2 linked regions of the Canis lupus familiaris genome follow. The protein of the gene in region 1 purifies or fractionates together with the protein of each later gene. This does not show direct contact. Links are inferred from orthologs where the notes say so. Each region holds a gene or a part of one and is shown in the gene's direction. Other genes may lie near its edges.

Region 1 (8,244 bases):
ATAACTTCAAAACTAAAAAGAGCCTTAGGGATTATCCAACAAAATCGAACTCTCCTGTATTACATAGATGAAAAGACCAAAACTAAACTGCTGAAGTTGCTTGCTCAGAGCTTCTAAGTACAAGTCAGTGCAGGACAATTTAGGTCAACAATCATTAAAAAATATTCTTTGTGCAAAACTCCATCCTGGAACTATAAAGAGAAACAAGAAGTATCCCTACCTATCCAGAGTATACAAGCTAGTAAAGAGCACAGAGACATAACATGAAGCCACTATGAAGACAAGCATGCTAAAAGGAAGGAGGGATTAATTTCCTTCCTTCTCAGTGAGATCTGAGAAATCTCCTAAAGAAGAAACATCTGAACAGGGTTTTAAATAATTAGAACTCCTATATAGACAGGAAGTGAAGGCACAGGATGAACGCCAAGAAGCAAATAAATAGACAGCATATTCAGAAAAAGTAAGTAAGTCATCCCATACTAGGGTGGGATGATAAAAGATAAAGAAAATCTTGAAAAGCAAATTGCAGACAAATCCTAAGGAGCAGTGCCTCCCATTTTCTTCTTTAGCCCACCTGTTCATTCCCCTGACCCAGGAACTGGAAACAGCTAAATATAATGGGAACTCAGTAATAGCTTATAATGATAAAAAAAAAAAAAAAAAAAACAGTAATAGCAGCTAGAATTTAGGGTGGGATTGTTATATGCTATGCACTATGCTAAACACTTCGTATACATTACCTCATTTAATCCTCATAAAAAATCCAAGGCATAGGTACTAATATTACTCTCCTCGCATATTTAAATACAAAAACTCAGGAAAGATAAGTAATCTTTCCAAAATCAAACGGTTTAAAAAGTGGATTCACACCCAACTTATCGGTTTCCGAAAGCCTATGAACTAAGCCAAAATAAGTTCCAACAAATGCGCCAGATCATCAATCTCCAAATATCAACAGCTGTACTGCAGAAGAGGGGAAGACAGACAAGAAGAAGGTGACAGAGAAAGGCTCCTTGCCATTCCTGACTTAACTGCATTTCCCTAACGAAAAAACTTTTGTTCTGGGGTCTAAGAATACTCTGGAGAATATAGTATAAAGCTTTAAAATTTCCTATGACTAGGGCAGCCTTAGGCAAGTCATTTTACTTTGAGGAGCTTCAATTTCCTTGTCTGAAAAATGGGTGTAGCAATACCTACACTATGAAAGATGTTATGAGAATGAGATCAAGCATATAAGGCGTTTAACACGACGCTAGATACATTGTAAAGCGCGGTTGTCTCCGATACAGCCCCTGCTCATGGTAAGCAGGAACGAGAGGGAACTAGAAAAGTCGGACGCTCCCAACACCGTTGGGAAAAGCGTTAACCATGCTCAGAGACTGTCCAGAAAAGAGATTCACAATGTCCCTTGAATAACCGGTTATCCTGATTCCGTCGGAGCCATGCAGCACGGCGGCGGAAAGATGGAGTGACCAAGTAGACTGGCTGTCCCGTTCGTTTCCACAGCCACAGAACCTAAGGGCCGAGGGTGGCACACAGGCGCCCAGGAATTAACTGACAACCCGGTAAGGAGTCCTTGAGTCCTCTGCAACTCCGGGGTGAAAAGACTTACCCTAAGGCCAGCTTCCTCCGCAGGTTCGGCATCCATGATGCACCTGAAACATCAACACAAGCAGTCAGTTCCGATTTCCACCTCCATTCCCTCCTACGGCGCCTAAACCGCTCAGAAATCCCTACCCAAGCGCTCCAGCGTTGCCGCCGCCATCTTCCTCCCTCCCTCTACGGAAGCCTCCGAGTTCACGCACTGCCGGGACCACGCGCATGCGCAGTTCTCAGGTTGTCTGCCCCCGCGCGAGACCCGGCAGTACTCCCGCCCCGGGTGCCGTCCTGGGGACCGCGAACGCGCCGCCCGCGCCTGAGGTGTGAGCCGGACACCTTTGCCTGGGAGTGAGTGACTTTAACACAGGCCGAAGACTGAGAGTGTACGGACATTCATGGAGATCCAGAAAAATTGAGAAACCTCCCCTCACACGTGGCCAGAAAGAGTAGGACAAGAGACGGTGAACAAGCCACCTAACGTGGGTGGACCTGTTTCCTCAGCAAAACAGAAAAGCGGCACAGGCTTGTTGTGAAGATCACTAGAGATCGTGTGGAAAGCTCTTTCAAAGAACAAACAGCTCAAATATAGAGTATGATGTCCTAATCCCTATGCTAATCTCCAGGTTGATCTACAAGAGATAAATCAATACTCATATGCCGGGCAGGCGTTTCACTAAATCTGTGAATTCCTCACAGCAATCCGACCAGGCATGGGTTATCACCTTCCTGCAAGTGAGAAAGCAGATTGGGACAGGTTAAGGTATCTCCAACAACAACCGGCAAAACCACTGATTCAGCCTCGGCCTGGATGCCTCCCAAACTGGTGCCCCTACCCACATTCAAAAACATGCGTGGCCTCTCCCCGTTAGGAGAGATCTCCGGCGTCGTTCGTCCCCGTTCAGGGCTGCCACATACCCCAGGAGAGCCGGGGCGCGGAGCCCGCAGCTCCACACACATCGCCCTTCACGGAGCCGGCACCCCATCAAGTCACGCGATTCTGCTCCTCTTTGAGTCCGAAGACTCTAGGGCCAGAATTTCCTCGCGGTTGCAGAAACTAACTCTTCCGGTCTTTTTTGATTTGATTCGAACGTTTATCTTTTGGTTAACTGGCTTGTTGCAGGTCTCTGCAGAATCTCCGGAGCTAGCGAAGTACCCTGGCACAGAGCGTTCACAACTACTTGACGGAATAGTGGCTGAACTATTCAAAAATTAAAAACTTAAAACGGCTGGTCGAGGTGACTCCACTAGTCAGTCTAACGCTTTAATTAGTACTTTGCTGTGGGAGGTGAGAAAGCCTGACCCCCAGGCTGGGCTCGGCAGCACCGGGACTCCTGGCCCCGGGCGGCGGCGGCGGCAGGCAGAGCCCCGCGCGCGCGGCCGCCCCTCCCAGCCCGGCGGCGGCGGCGGCGGCGGCGGCGGCGGGAGCGGCGCTCGCGGTGCGGCCTGGGCCTCGGCGCGCGCCGTAGCGGCGGGCCCGGCGAGGCGGGGCTCCGAGCCAGCCCCGCCCCCTTCCCGGCTGCGGCGTGGGGCTGCGAACGGTCTGCTCCTGGGGTTCCTTCGTTCGTCCCTGCTGGGCCGTGATCATGGGACAGGAGCCGCGCACGCTGCCGCCCTCTCCTAACTGGTACTGCGCCCGCTGCAGCGATGCGGTGCCCGGGGGCCTCTTCGGCTTCGCAGCGCGGACCTCCGTCTTCCTTGTGCGCGTGGGCCCAAGCGCTGGCGCGATCCCTGGGACGCCCCCATTTCGAGGTAACTCCCCGCTTTGAGCCCCCGCCCTCCTGCCCTTGTTGGGTTCGTCGTAGGCGCCGAGGGAGAGTTTCTAGGCACCCTTCCCTGCAGGTGGGGAAACTGAGGCCCAGGTTGGCAGAAGGATACCGGGCTGAGTTGCGTCCGCGTCTCCAGGATTGAGTTACCATACCACGCTGTGGCTGCGCGGCCCCGCCTCCTGGCGCTCTCGCGTAGAACCGCTCGCTCCCTCGAGTTACCCCTTTATGGAGCCAGGCGTTGATAACCTCTGTGGCCTCCCTCCCCGACGCAGCGCACACTGTCCCCTGGGAGCCTCCCTGCGTTCCGGGGCTGTCTACAGCTCCAGGCCCTGAACAACGTCCTGGAAATAGATGATACCTGTTTCTTGAAGATGAATGAGTTGAGCCAGATGCTTTCAGGCTCCAAGCTAGGTTTAGATTTTGCCTTGGGACATGGCAAGCCAGTTATTTATTCTTTCCCAAATGACCTCTGGGCCACGTTTAAATAAGAATCACTTTTACATTCTTCATTTGAGCCGCTCCTCAGCCTGTGAACTGTGAACAACAAGGGATATCAGCAGCATTTTACGGCTGAAAAGAGTGAGGCTCAAGGAGATAAAATGACTGGGCTGAAGTCCCGTGGCAGAGCCAGAACCAGCACTTGGGATTTCTGATTGTGAGTGCCTGGATATTTTTGTTATGCCATGGGATAAGTGAAGTCCCACTCGTCTAACATCAGTATGATCCTCCCAGGAATCTTAGGTAGCACTCTAACCTGAAGTCCGGTTTTGCTTGAAGTCGTAGGGGAGTTGGTGGGACACACCGAAAGGGTCTCTGGCTTCACATTTTCTCATCATCCGGGTCAATACAACCTCTGCGCCACCAGCTCTGATGATGGAACTGTGAAAATCTGGGATGCGGAAACAAAAACAGTTGTGACAGAACATGCACTCCATCAGGTACTGTGGCTTACCGGTTTCTCAGACCATTATTATATATTTGCTGAGGGTTCTTTTGTTTCAAGTACGCTAACTCATCTGTGCAAGTTAACTTTTATAATAATGTCCATTATTTGGATGAGAAGCTCTATATTCTATATATAAATTGTAAGATGCCTCAAAACTTTTTTGGAAGGAGATACATATAAACCAGAGGTCAGCAAACTACTGTGCTGCCTGTTTTTGCAAATTGGTTTTATTGGAACACACCCTCAGTCATTCATTTAAGTATTGGCTGCTTGCATACTACAACAGCAGAGTAGTTGTACCAGAGACAGTATGGCACACAAAGTCTAAAATGTCTACAATCTGGTTTTTTAACATGGAAAAGACTCCTGACATAAACTGTAAATGAATGAAATTTGTTTCTAAACCAGATGATTACTTACTAAGCCTACCTTTTGAGAGAATGTAGAAAAGAAAAAGACTCAATCTTAGTAAGAACTTTCAATTAAGCTAAAGGAAGAAATGTTTTTAAATAGTTCTTTAATCCTTAGGAGCTTAAATTCTTCTACCATTTGGTTAATGTAGTCTTGGTATACAAGTGGTACTAACGGTATTTATTAAGTACATATCAATGTGCCTAGTATTATACAAGTTAAAAATGAAGTAAAAATTCAGCACTGACAAATGAAAAGCAATGTATTTTTGTTTTGTTTTAAAGCATACAATATCAGCACTGCATTGGTCTCCTCAAGTAAAGGATTTAATAGTATCTGGAGATGAAAAAGGAGTAGTTTTCTGTTACTGGCTTAACCGAAATGACAGCCAGCACCTCTTTATAGAACCCAGGACAATTTTCTGTCTTACTTGCTCACCTCATCATGAAGATTTAGTAGCCATTGGGTAAGTACTGTGTCATCTGTACTGGTAATTTGTTTTTGTTAATGAGCATATTTTGCATTTGCTTTATCTTCTCTTCCTTATTCCTCAGAGGAAGCCATGTATAGGTATTAACCATTCCCTGAGCCCATGGTATCATTTATTCCTGTGACTTCCAGGTCCTTACTGTCCTTCTCACTCTCTCTGTTTTTATTTCTTTAATTTCTACAATAGTGTACTTTCCTCATTCTTCACATCTGATTTCTTCAGCTAGCCTCCAAATGTAGGAAATACCCTCTTTCTCCCCTTTCCTCTCTCAATATTTGCTCTTGGAGATAACATTTACTCTCAGAATGTCAGAGGACTTAACTCTGTCCCTGTTCGCAGCTCTCCCTCTGGATTGGGACAGTAGTCTGGCATTGGGCGCTGCCTCCGCCTCGATCACCAGGATTATTTCACATAAACTGCCTGAATGGGCACCACCCTTTTCCTCACCGCTCCATCTACTACTCTCCCAAAGATGTCTTATCACTCTAGTTTGGATATTTGACATAAGCACTAGAATGCCAGAGGAGAAGTCTAGTTGGAGTGAATTCAAGAGACTGGGGTACAGTAGTCAAGATACACATGGAGACTTTTGTTTTTTGTACAAATGTGCATAGACATGAAGCCAGAGGAGGTACATGGTAGTAAAGGGAATATTAAATGGAAGATAATAGGGCATATTTTTATGCTGATGGAAGAGGAAAAGCTGGTTGCATGGAGAAATGGTAATAAATACAGGAGTGATATGAGAAGTCAAGAGGGATTGTATCCAGATCACAAGTAGAAAGGACAAGTGAGAATATGGAAATGGAAATAGTTGCAGGTGGGTTTGTAGATCTGGCTGGAAGAGGAAGGTGTTTGTTGTCGGGGTTTTTTTTTTAAGATGTTTTTGGGTTTTTTTAAAGATTATATTTATTATTCGTGGGAGACACAGAAAGAGAGGCAGAGAGAGGAGAAGCAGGCTCCATGCAAGGAGCCTGATGTGGGATTCCATCTTGGGAATCTGGGATCAGGCCCTGAGCCACCCAGTTGTCCCGAGGAAGGTATTTCATTCTGATGTCTTCTGATTTTCTCTGTGAATCATAAGTCAGAAAGGTAGAGTCAAATTCAAAGTGGGGCTGGGAGCACGCAGGAAGATGTAAAAATAGTCATCTCAGAGAATAAAAAAATGAGCTTACTGAGAGAAATTGTAGGTCCAGTGGTCCGTATTGAGGCCAAGCTCTGAATCAAAATCATGAATTCAAAGTAAACTATTCAAACTGAGAAAGGGTATGGTTGGATTTGACAAGATTTGAAGTTTTGTGGAGTAAATACTTCTGAAAGAGACAGGACAAAGCTGCTAAGGGTGTTTTTAAAGGAGTGATAATGAAGCATGAGGGGAAGGATAGGAAAACAGGTATGTGTGCGTAATAGTGAAAATGGGAGGAGTCTGTGGATCGGTGGTCTGCTGGGTGAAGTGAGCAGCGTTACAGTGGGAGAGCTAGAGGAAGAGCAGAATGGGTGGTAGGCAGGGATCAAAGAAGGTAGGATCAAACTGACCTTGAAAGATGAGCAAGAATCCACAAGAAAAGAAGAAATCTTTCAGGTAGAGGGAACTGCACAGAGGATTGAATCAGAATGATTTGTTTTTAGAGGCTCTTCCAAATGGCAATCATTTCCTGAAAGGCTGATTAAAAATGAAGAACAGCTTGGTCACTTGACTGTTAGGTTGCAAAACTTGTTGGGTTTTCGAAGTCCATGTCTGCAAAGATTGATGTATGATTTCATTTTTTTTTTTTTTTAAGTAAGGCTGTAATGGGAAAATGTTTTTAATAAAAGTTTCTCCTTTTATTAAAGGAGTGTAATGGTGTTTTTCCCTATAGGACTATCTAGTGTGTAGGAAATGTAAGGAGGTACACCCAACTTTGGAGTGCAGTTTGTACTTCTAGCAAAGCAAAGATGTATACATCTTACATCCTGGCAGTTCCACTACTATGCATTAAATCTGAAATTGTCTTAAGTGTGCATAAGATTATTAATGGCATTTTTGTTTTGTTTTGTTTGTAATAGTAATAAACGGAAGCCCTCTAAATGGAAAAATGAGTAAATTTGTGTTATAGTCACACAGTGGAGTGCCATCCAATAGTGTAAGTGACTGACTAGGAACCAGAGTTACATGCATCCACATCAATGACTCGCTAACAATAAGTGGGAAAAAAACAAGTTACAGAAAAACAGACTGCATGATACCATTTATATGAAGTTTTAAAATACACAGAATCATTTTCAATTGTCTTTAGGAACATAGACAAAGAAAGGCTAGGAATGATGGAACAGAAATTCACGAATAGCAGTTTACCTCTGGGGAAGAGAGAGAGAGAAGTTTGATTGGGGTGGGTTGTATAAAGGACTTTAACCATCTTGATAATTGGGTTTGTTTTTTTTTTTTTTCCTTTAAGCTGGTTGATAGATACTTCTTTATGTGTATGAAATACTCATCTATTTTTTTTTTAAAGCTATTAGAATTTCTCGGTGTCCTCTGAATTTTAAAAAAATGATAGGCTTGGAATATCCAGGTCTAGAAGCTGCAGTACTCAGTTTTTTGTTGAGTTCACAGTTAGAAAAATTACAAGGATTTTACAAGGATTACTTGTAAAAAGTGGGAGAGGTGTAAGTGTGTTAGGACAAATTCTGTCTCTAGTCAGAAGGATTGCTGGAGCCCAAAAATTACTGTTCTTCTATAAGTTTCCCCTTCAAACACAAGTATGCTTCACCCTATGAACTTTATGCCAGGCAACATAATACATTATTACTTAGTGCCAAGACTTTGATTGGAACAGCAGTGGTGGTGAGAAAAGGACAAAACAAGATTATTTCTTGCTTTCTTCCTTCTCCTTCATCCCTAGTACACTTAACTTTTAGATGTGCACGATGATAATTCCTAATCCAAAATGTTTACTGTTCAGTCTTCATTTTTCAATATTCCTAACTCTTGTTCTTTAGCTACAAGGATGGCATAGTGGTTATAATTGACATCAGTAAGAAAGGAGAAGTTA
Region 2 (5,155 bases), on another chromosome or scaffold:
AGGGATCCCCAAATTGACTACATTTCTATGCAGCAGACCTTGGGGTAGCAGGAGTAAAATTAGGAAGTAACAGCTGCTTTTTTGTTGATTTAGGGTATGGGTCAGCAGACTACAAACTATTTGTAAATAAAGGTTTATTGGTAACCAGTCAAGCCCATTTGTTCACTATCGTCTGTGACTGCTGTTGGTGTAAGGCAGTCCGGTAATTGGACAGATTGTAAGGCCCTCTGAGCTGAAAATATCTGTTGTCTGGCCCTTTAGAGACAAAGTATAAATGTGTGTGCTGATTCTCATTTTAGAGCAAGGCTTTATGTTTAACTGACATGTCTTGAATTCTTGAAGTCACTGGAGTGCTCTGGGCAGTAGTGATGGCTGGAGATCATTGTGCACAAACACTGCTGAGCCCAGTATGATGAGAGCATTAGTCACTCTGGGCTCTTGAGGACAGGGAGAGGGGTCTGAGACATCTGTCGCTGGCAGGAGCTAGCCCAGGGCCTGGCACGCAGGCTCTGCGATTGAATGGGTGGGATTTCCTTGCCTGAGAACTAATCTTTGCCCGCCTCCCCCCAGATACACATGGTCTACAGTAAGCGGTCAGGAAAGCCCCGCGGCTATGCCTTCATCGAGTATGAACATGAGCGAGACATGCATTGTGAGTACCTCAGGCCTGAGCCCTGCCCTCTGACCCTCTCTCTCTATGCTGCCCAGCCCCTTCCCGTCGTCTGTCCCCACCCCCCACCCTGCCAAACCTGACATTAGCGATGTCTCTTCTCCTCCTCCCTCTGTTTCTGATATATCTTTTTTTTTTTTATATACGTGTTTTTTAAAAAACAAAAACCAAAATCCCCCACAACGTGTGTGTGTGTGTGAACCTGGGGAGGTAAGTGTCACACGTTGAACCTCAGGGGCAAGGAGGGAACTGGGTGGGGGCTGGGGCCAGCTGGAGGTTGGGGGAAGGGGTCGGATGTTCGGGGAGCCTCTCCCCATTCCCCCCACCAGAATTGGGGGCGGCCAGGTTGGAATGAGGACTGGCCTTTGAACCTGCCCTCTCTTCCCCCCCAGCAGAGCTGGGGCTGGGCCACCCGACCCTCTGCCTCCCCACCCCTGGCCCCCCACCCTGTTCCTCAGCGGGCAGTGGGTTGGTAGGCGTGTTCAGCGCCTGCCCCCCCATCTCCAAAGCCCCCTTTGAGGCTGCGGCGGCGTCCACATGGGCAGGGATGGGTGGGTGGGGGCGGGCAGGGCTGCGGCGTGTCCAGGGGCCGCCGTATTAATTGACTGTTCTTATTGTCACTGCAGCCACCACGCAGCTGGCTTGCAGCTGATGCTTACGCTCCCCTTACAACACCTCAGTGTATGGTTGGTATAAGGGTTTGTATCATGGGTAAGATCACTCAGCACCGCACACCAGCCCAGCTTAGCCAGGCAGCTCAGGAGCAGTGAGGCGTCCCTCTTCCCATCCCCAGTCGCCCCCTCAGCCTTCCCGCACCCACAGCCCTTTCCTGGTTTGGGTGCCCCTTGTCCCTTCTGCCACCCCTTCCCCCCAATCCACATATGCTCTCTGATAATCTTGCTGATCCCAGGAAGGAAAGGATGAACCCTGATGGGAAAGGCTGCTGGCCTCTCCAACTGGGCTCCACCCCACCCCTGACTTACCTGGCTTCACGATGTCAGCGGCAAGGTTACAGGAATACTGAAACGGGATGCACGAGGGTGAGGGCTACGTGTGGAACCCTTCAACCCTTTGCTGCCTGCCCCCATTCTTCTGTGGGGCTGTCACTGTAGTGGCCCTGGAGAATCTTTTTGGTTGCTAGACTCGGGTTGCTGTGCCCATTTTCTGTCTGCCTTATCATGGTTGAGGCCTACCAAGAGGGCTGTGGTGCCCAGCGGCTCTGCAGAGTGCATGGAATTGGGGATTGGGGTGAGGGAGGGATTGAGTGACAGGCTGCAAGTAGCTGATGGTGTTGTAGATTTTACTTAGGACCCTTCCACTGTCTAGAGACCTAAGAGAGGGAGAGAAAGAGAAGCCTAGAAGTACACATGTCACATGATTTCTTTGTTGGTACTCCTGGGTTGGGCCTCTTCTGGGGTTTGGGACATTGAACCAGAGCAGGGTTCCTTTGCTTGACTGTGCTCCCGGTCCTTAAATCCCTTTCCCGTAATACCCTCCTCTGGGTTTGGGGGGGCCAAGTGGCCCCTCCTCCAGATCACGGGCAGCACTCCATCTCCTGGACCCCCCACCCCCAGGCTGTCCCTTATGTGCCAGCCTTTGAGTGGCAGGTGGTGGGAGGGAGTGTGGAATCCAAAGTGGAGAAGTCCTTCCATGTGCTGCGAGGAGGGTGGGGCGTGTGCCTAGTTCAGTGTGGACTTTACTGGGAAAGGTGAGGGCCAACAGTTTTGCTAAGGCCTCCCCAGCCTTCTTTTTAAATACAACAAGCTAGTTCCAGGGCATTACCAGCTCCTAGACTTGATGTTAATCCTTGTCTCCCCCTCTTTCAAGGCCTCCATGAGGTTTCTTTGGGGTCCACCACTGCCTCTGCCTGTCTCTAGGTGGTGCAGGAGATGTGGTTCCTCTCCCTCTCTGTGGCTCCCTAGAACCCCCCCATTTCCCTTCCCTGTAGCTTTAGCTGACCCTATGGTGGTGGGTGTGGGGTCTGTGCGCGTGCTCAGGTAAGCTTGGGGGCTCCAGGTAAGCGGTCCCGTGTCCCCCCCCGGGAAGCCCGCCTCCTCGCCAGGCCCCCAGGAGTTGCCGAGCCCCCCCCATCCCGCTCGGTTTGGACACCCGCAAGGCCGGCATCGGTAAATGGCACCTTTTTCTCTTCCTCTGGTTGTTATTTGGGGGGGAGAGGGCTGGGGCGGGGCAGGGTATTGTGGTTGGTTGAGGACAACCCCCTAGGCCAGGGCTGGGGGTGGGAAACGGACTTTTTTTGCCCTCCTGATGCCCCATGGGAGACAGGCCTGGGATTGGGCCTGCCCATCGCTGTGCCCTGCCCAAGAGCAGGAATATGCCTCTTCCTGAATCTCTCCCTCTACTCCTCACCCTTCCCAAGAGGCTCCGGCTGGGGTTGGCCTCCCAGCCCAGCTTGTGTTGAGCTGGGGGTGTGGAGGGAGAGATGGAATGGGGGCTGGGATTGGGTGGCAGTCAGTCGGCTCAGGTAAGGCAGGAATTGTCAGTAGCACCGCACGCCTCCCATACCTTCCTCCACTTTCCCTCTGCCCTAGCTGCTGTAGGGGGGCCCCTCCAGGCCCCCTGGGAGCACCATAACCCACCCTTCTGCTCCCTGTCATCTCCTAAAGATTTCTCCCACCCTTTTCTGGTTCATTTTCTGTTCTGATGTCTGTTCTCCCCACGCTCACCTCCGCCCCCCCCCCCCAAAAAAAAAAAAAAGCAAAAAGGAAAACCGGTGTGAACTGGGGTGCAGAGCGGCCCAGCTGGGCCTCCTCCCCCAGCATGATGTTTTAGGGTGCATGCCTGGGGTTGTGGAGGAGCCCTCCCCCACAGCAGAGTCCAGCCTTAAGTTAACCTCCAGTTTCTTTGCAGCATCTTTGGCCGCCTGGGCAGGAGGGGGCTGCTCCGTCGAATGGGAGTAGGGAAGGGCCTGGGAGCCCAGGAGAGGGTGGTTGGGTCGTCTTGCTCCCCACAACCGTCATTGGGGGATAATACACAGGTGCCGAGATGGAGCAGGCCCCTCCTGGTTTGGGAGAGGGTTGGTCTGGCTGTCAGTTTTGACTGGCTGGCTGGTGTGCGTGTGTGTGTGTGTATGCGCGCGTGCACGCACGTGTGTGTGCACAGTGTGTTGATGGGGACGTGAGGGTGGGGATGCTGCAGAGCTGGGCACTGTCCTGACTAGAGGACCCTCTGGGGACTCCTCCCCCTTCCCCCTCCCCGCATCTGTTGCAGCCGCTTACAAGCACGCAGACGGCAAGAAGATTGATGGCCGGAGAGTCCTTGTGGACGTGGAGAGGGGCCGAACTGTGAAGGGCTGGCGGCCCCGGCGGCTAGGTGAGCACTTCCTGCCCTGGCTGAGCCTTGGTGGGCCTGTACTCTCTTATGCATCCTCTGCTGCTTGCTGTCTTCCCTTCTCCTTTTTGCTTTCCTGGCCGCTCATCACGTCCTCCCTTGCTTCCTCCAGCTCCTCTTCTCTTGTCACCATCATTATCGTTCCTGGTGGCTGACTTCTCATTCTGGTTTACTGATTAGGAGTGGGAGCACTGTCTGGAGAGGCGAGTGTGGGATCAAATGTCAGCTTGTGTACTTACTAGTTGGTGGATTTCCCTGCTTCATTTTCCTTATTGTAGAAATTGGGGCTAACCTCAAGAGTTCACGGAGCTCAGCATACCAGATGCCTAGATGCCTAGCTTGGCATGTGGCATGTGACGGGGCTTGTAAATATCACTCTCTCATCTACTTATTCTTGATTCTTGCTCATTTGTTTATTCTTTGATTACCAGCTATGTACCACATTTTTAGTCAGGAGCAAGACAGATGGCCTGTGTCTCTCTCTGATTGTTACTGTGTTAAAATCAGTTTGGTTGTAAGTATTGGAAATACATTTGAGGTTTTTAAAACATAAAGGGAGCCTTATTGATAGAGAATCCTGGAGGTCCTTTGGAGGCCAGAGATGTGTGATGCCAGTGGGCCTCGAGGACCTGGTAGCTAGATTTTAAGCTTGTCAGGAGCCACCTTTGCCATTGCAGCAGCTTGCTTCCACCTTGTCTGCTGTCTGTGCAGACTGGTCTCTTCTGTGTTTCCCTGCACTGGCCCCATGAGTGCTACACCTAGTCTTGGTGAGTCTATACTTCCGGGGGGTTGGATCTGAGTGGCTCTTCATTGGGCCTGGACCTGGGGCTGCTGTCCTGCCATCTAAACATGCATGTTAAGGACCTACTCCTGCAGGGGTGAGTGACAGTTCTCTAAGAAAGATGGTCACCCTGGACTTGCCTGTGCAGCGTAGACCACACACTCACCTGCCGAGTCTTGGAACAGTAATAGGTTCTTATCGCCTTCATTTCTTGAGGGTGGAGTGAGTTTTTCATAGTCTGCTATTTTCTGTTGTAGAATCCTGGAATCGCAGAATCTTGTAGTTCATTTGGCATTCAGACTTTGGCATAGCAGTACTTACTACATCCTGACCCAGTATATATCTGTGGAAAAGTA

The links.
Region 2: the proteins of GEMIN5 (region 1) and SNRNP70 purify together in Homo sapiens (affinity purification with mass spectrometry; 4 studies listed by BioGRID and IntAct, counting the BioPlex papers as one, with this or other methods). This does not show direct contact. The link is inferred for Canis lupus familiaris from reciprocal best matches to the Homo sapiens genes GEMIN5 and SNRNP70.

What each region holds. Positions count from the first base shown.
Region 1 is NC_049225.1:55,757,966-55,766,209, forward strand, and holds the start of GEMIN5 (gem-associated protein 5), read left to right. Parts: upstream 1-3,092; 5' UTR 3,093-3,182; coding exon 3,183-3,348; intron 3,349-4,142; coding exon 4,143-4,303; intron 4,304-5,006; coding exon 5,007-5,188; intron 5,189-8,191; coding exon 8,192-8,244. Other genes in the region: MRPL22 (39S ribosomal protein L22, mitochondrial), read right to left, coding at 1,613-1,655, 1,738-1,765. UniProt on the Homo sapiens protein: The SMN complex catalyzes the assembly of small nuclear ribonucleoproteins (snRNPs), the building blocks of the spliceosome, and thereby plays an important role in the splicing of cellular pre-mRNAs.
Region 2 is NC_049222.1:108,017,718-108,022,872, reverse strand, and holds part of SNRNP70 (U1 small nuclear ribonucleoprotein 70 kDa), read left to right. Parts: intron 1-570; coding exon 571-652; intron 653-3,898; coding exon 3,899-4,000; intron 4,001-5,155. UniProt on the Homo sapiens protein: Component of the spliceosomal U1 snRNP, which is essential for recognition of the pre-mRNA 5' splice-site and the subsequent assembly of the spliceosome. SNRNP70 binds to the loop I region of U1-snRNA.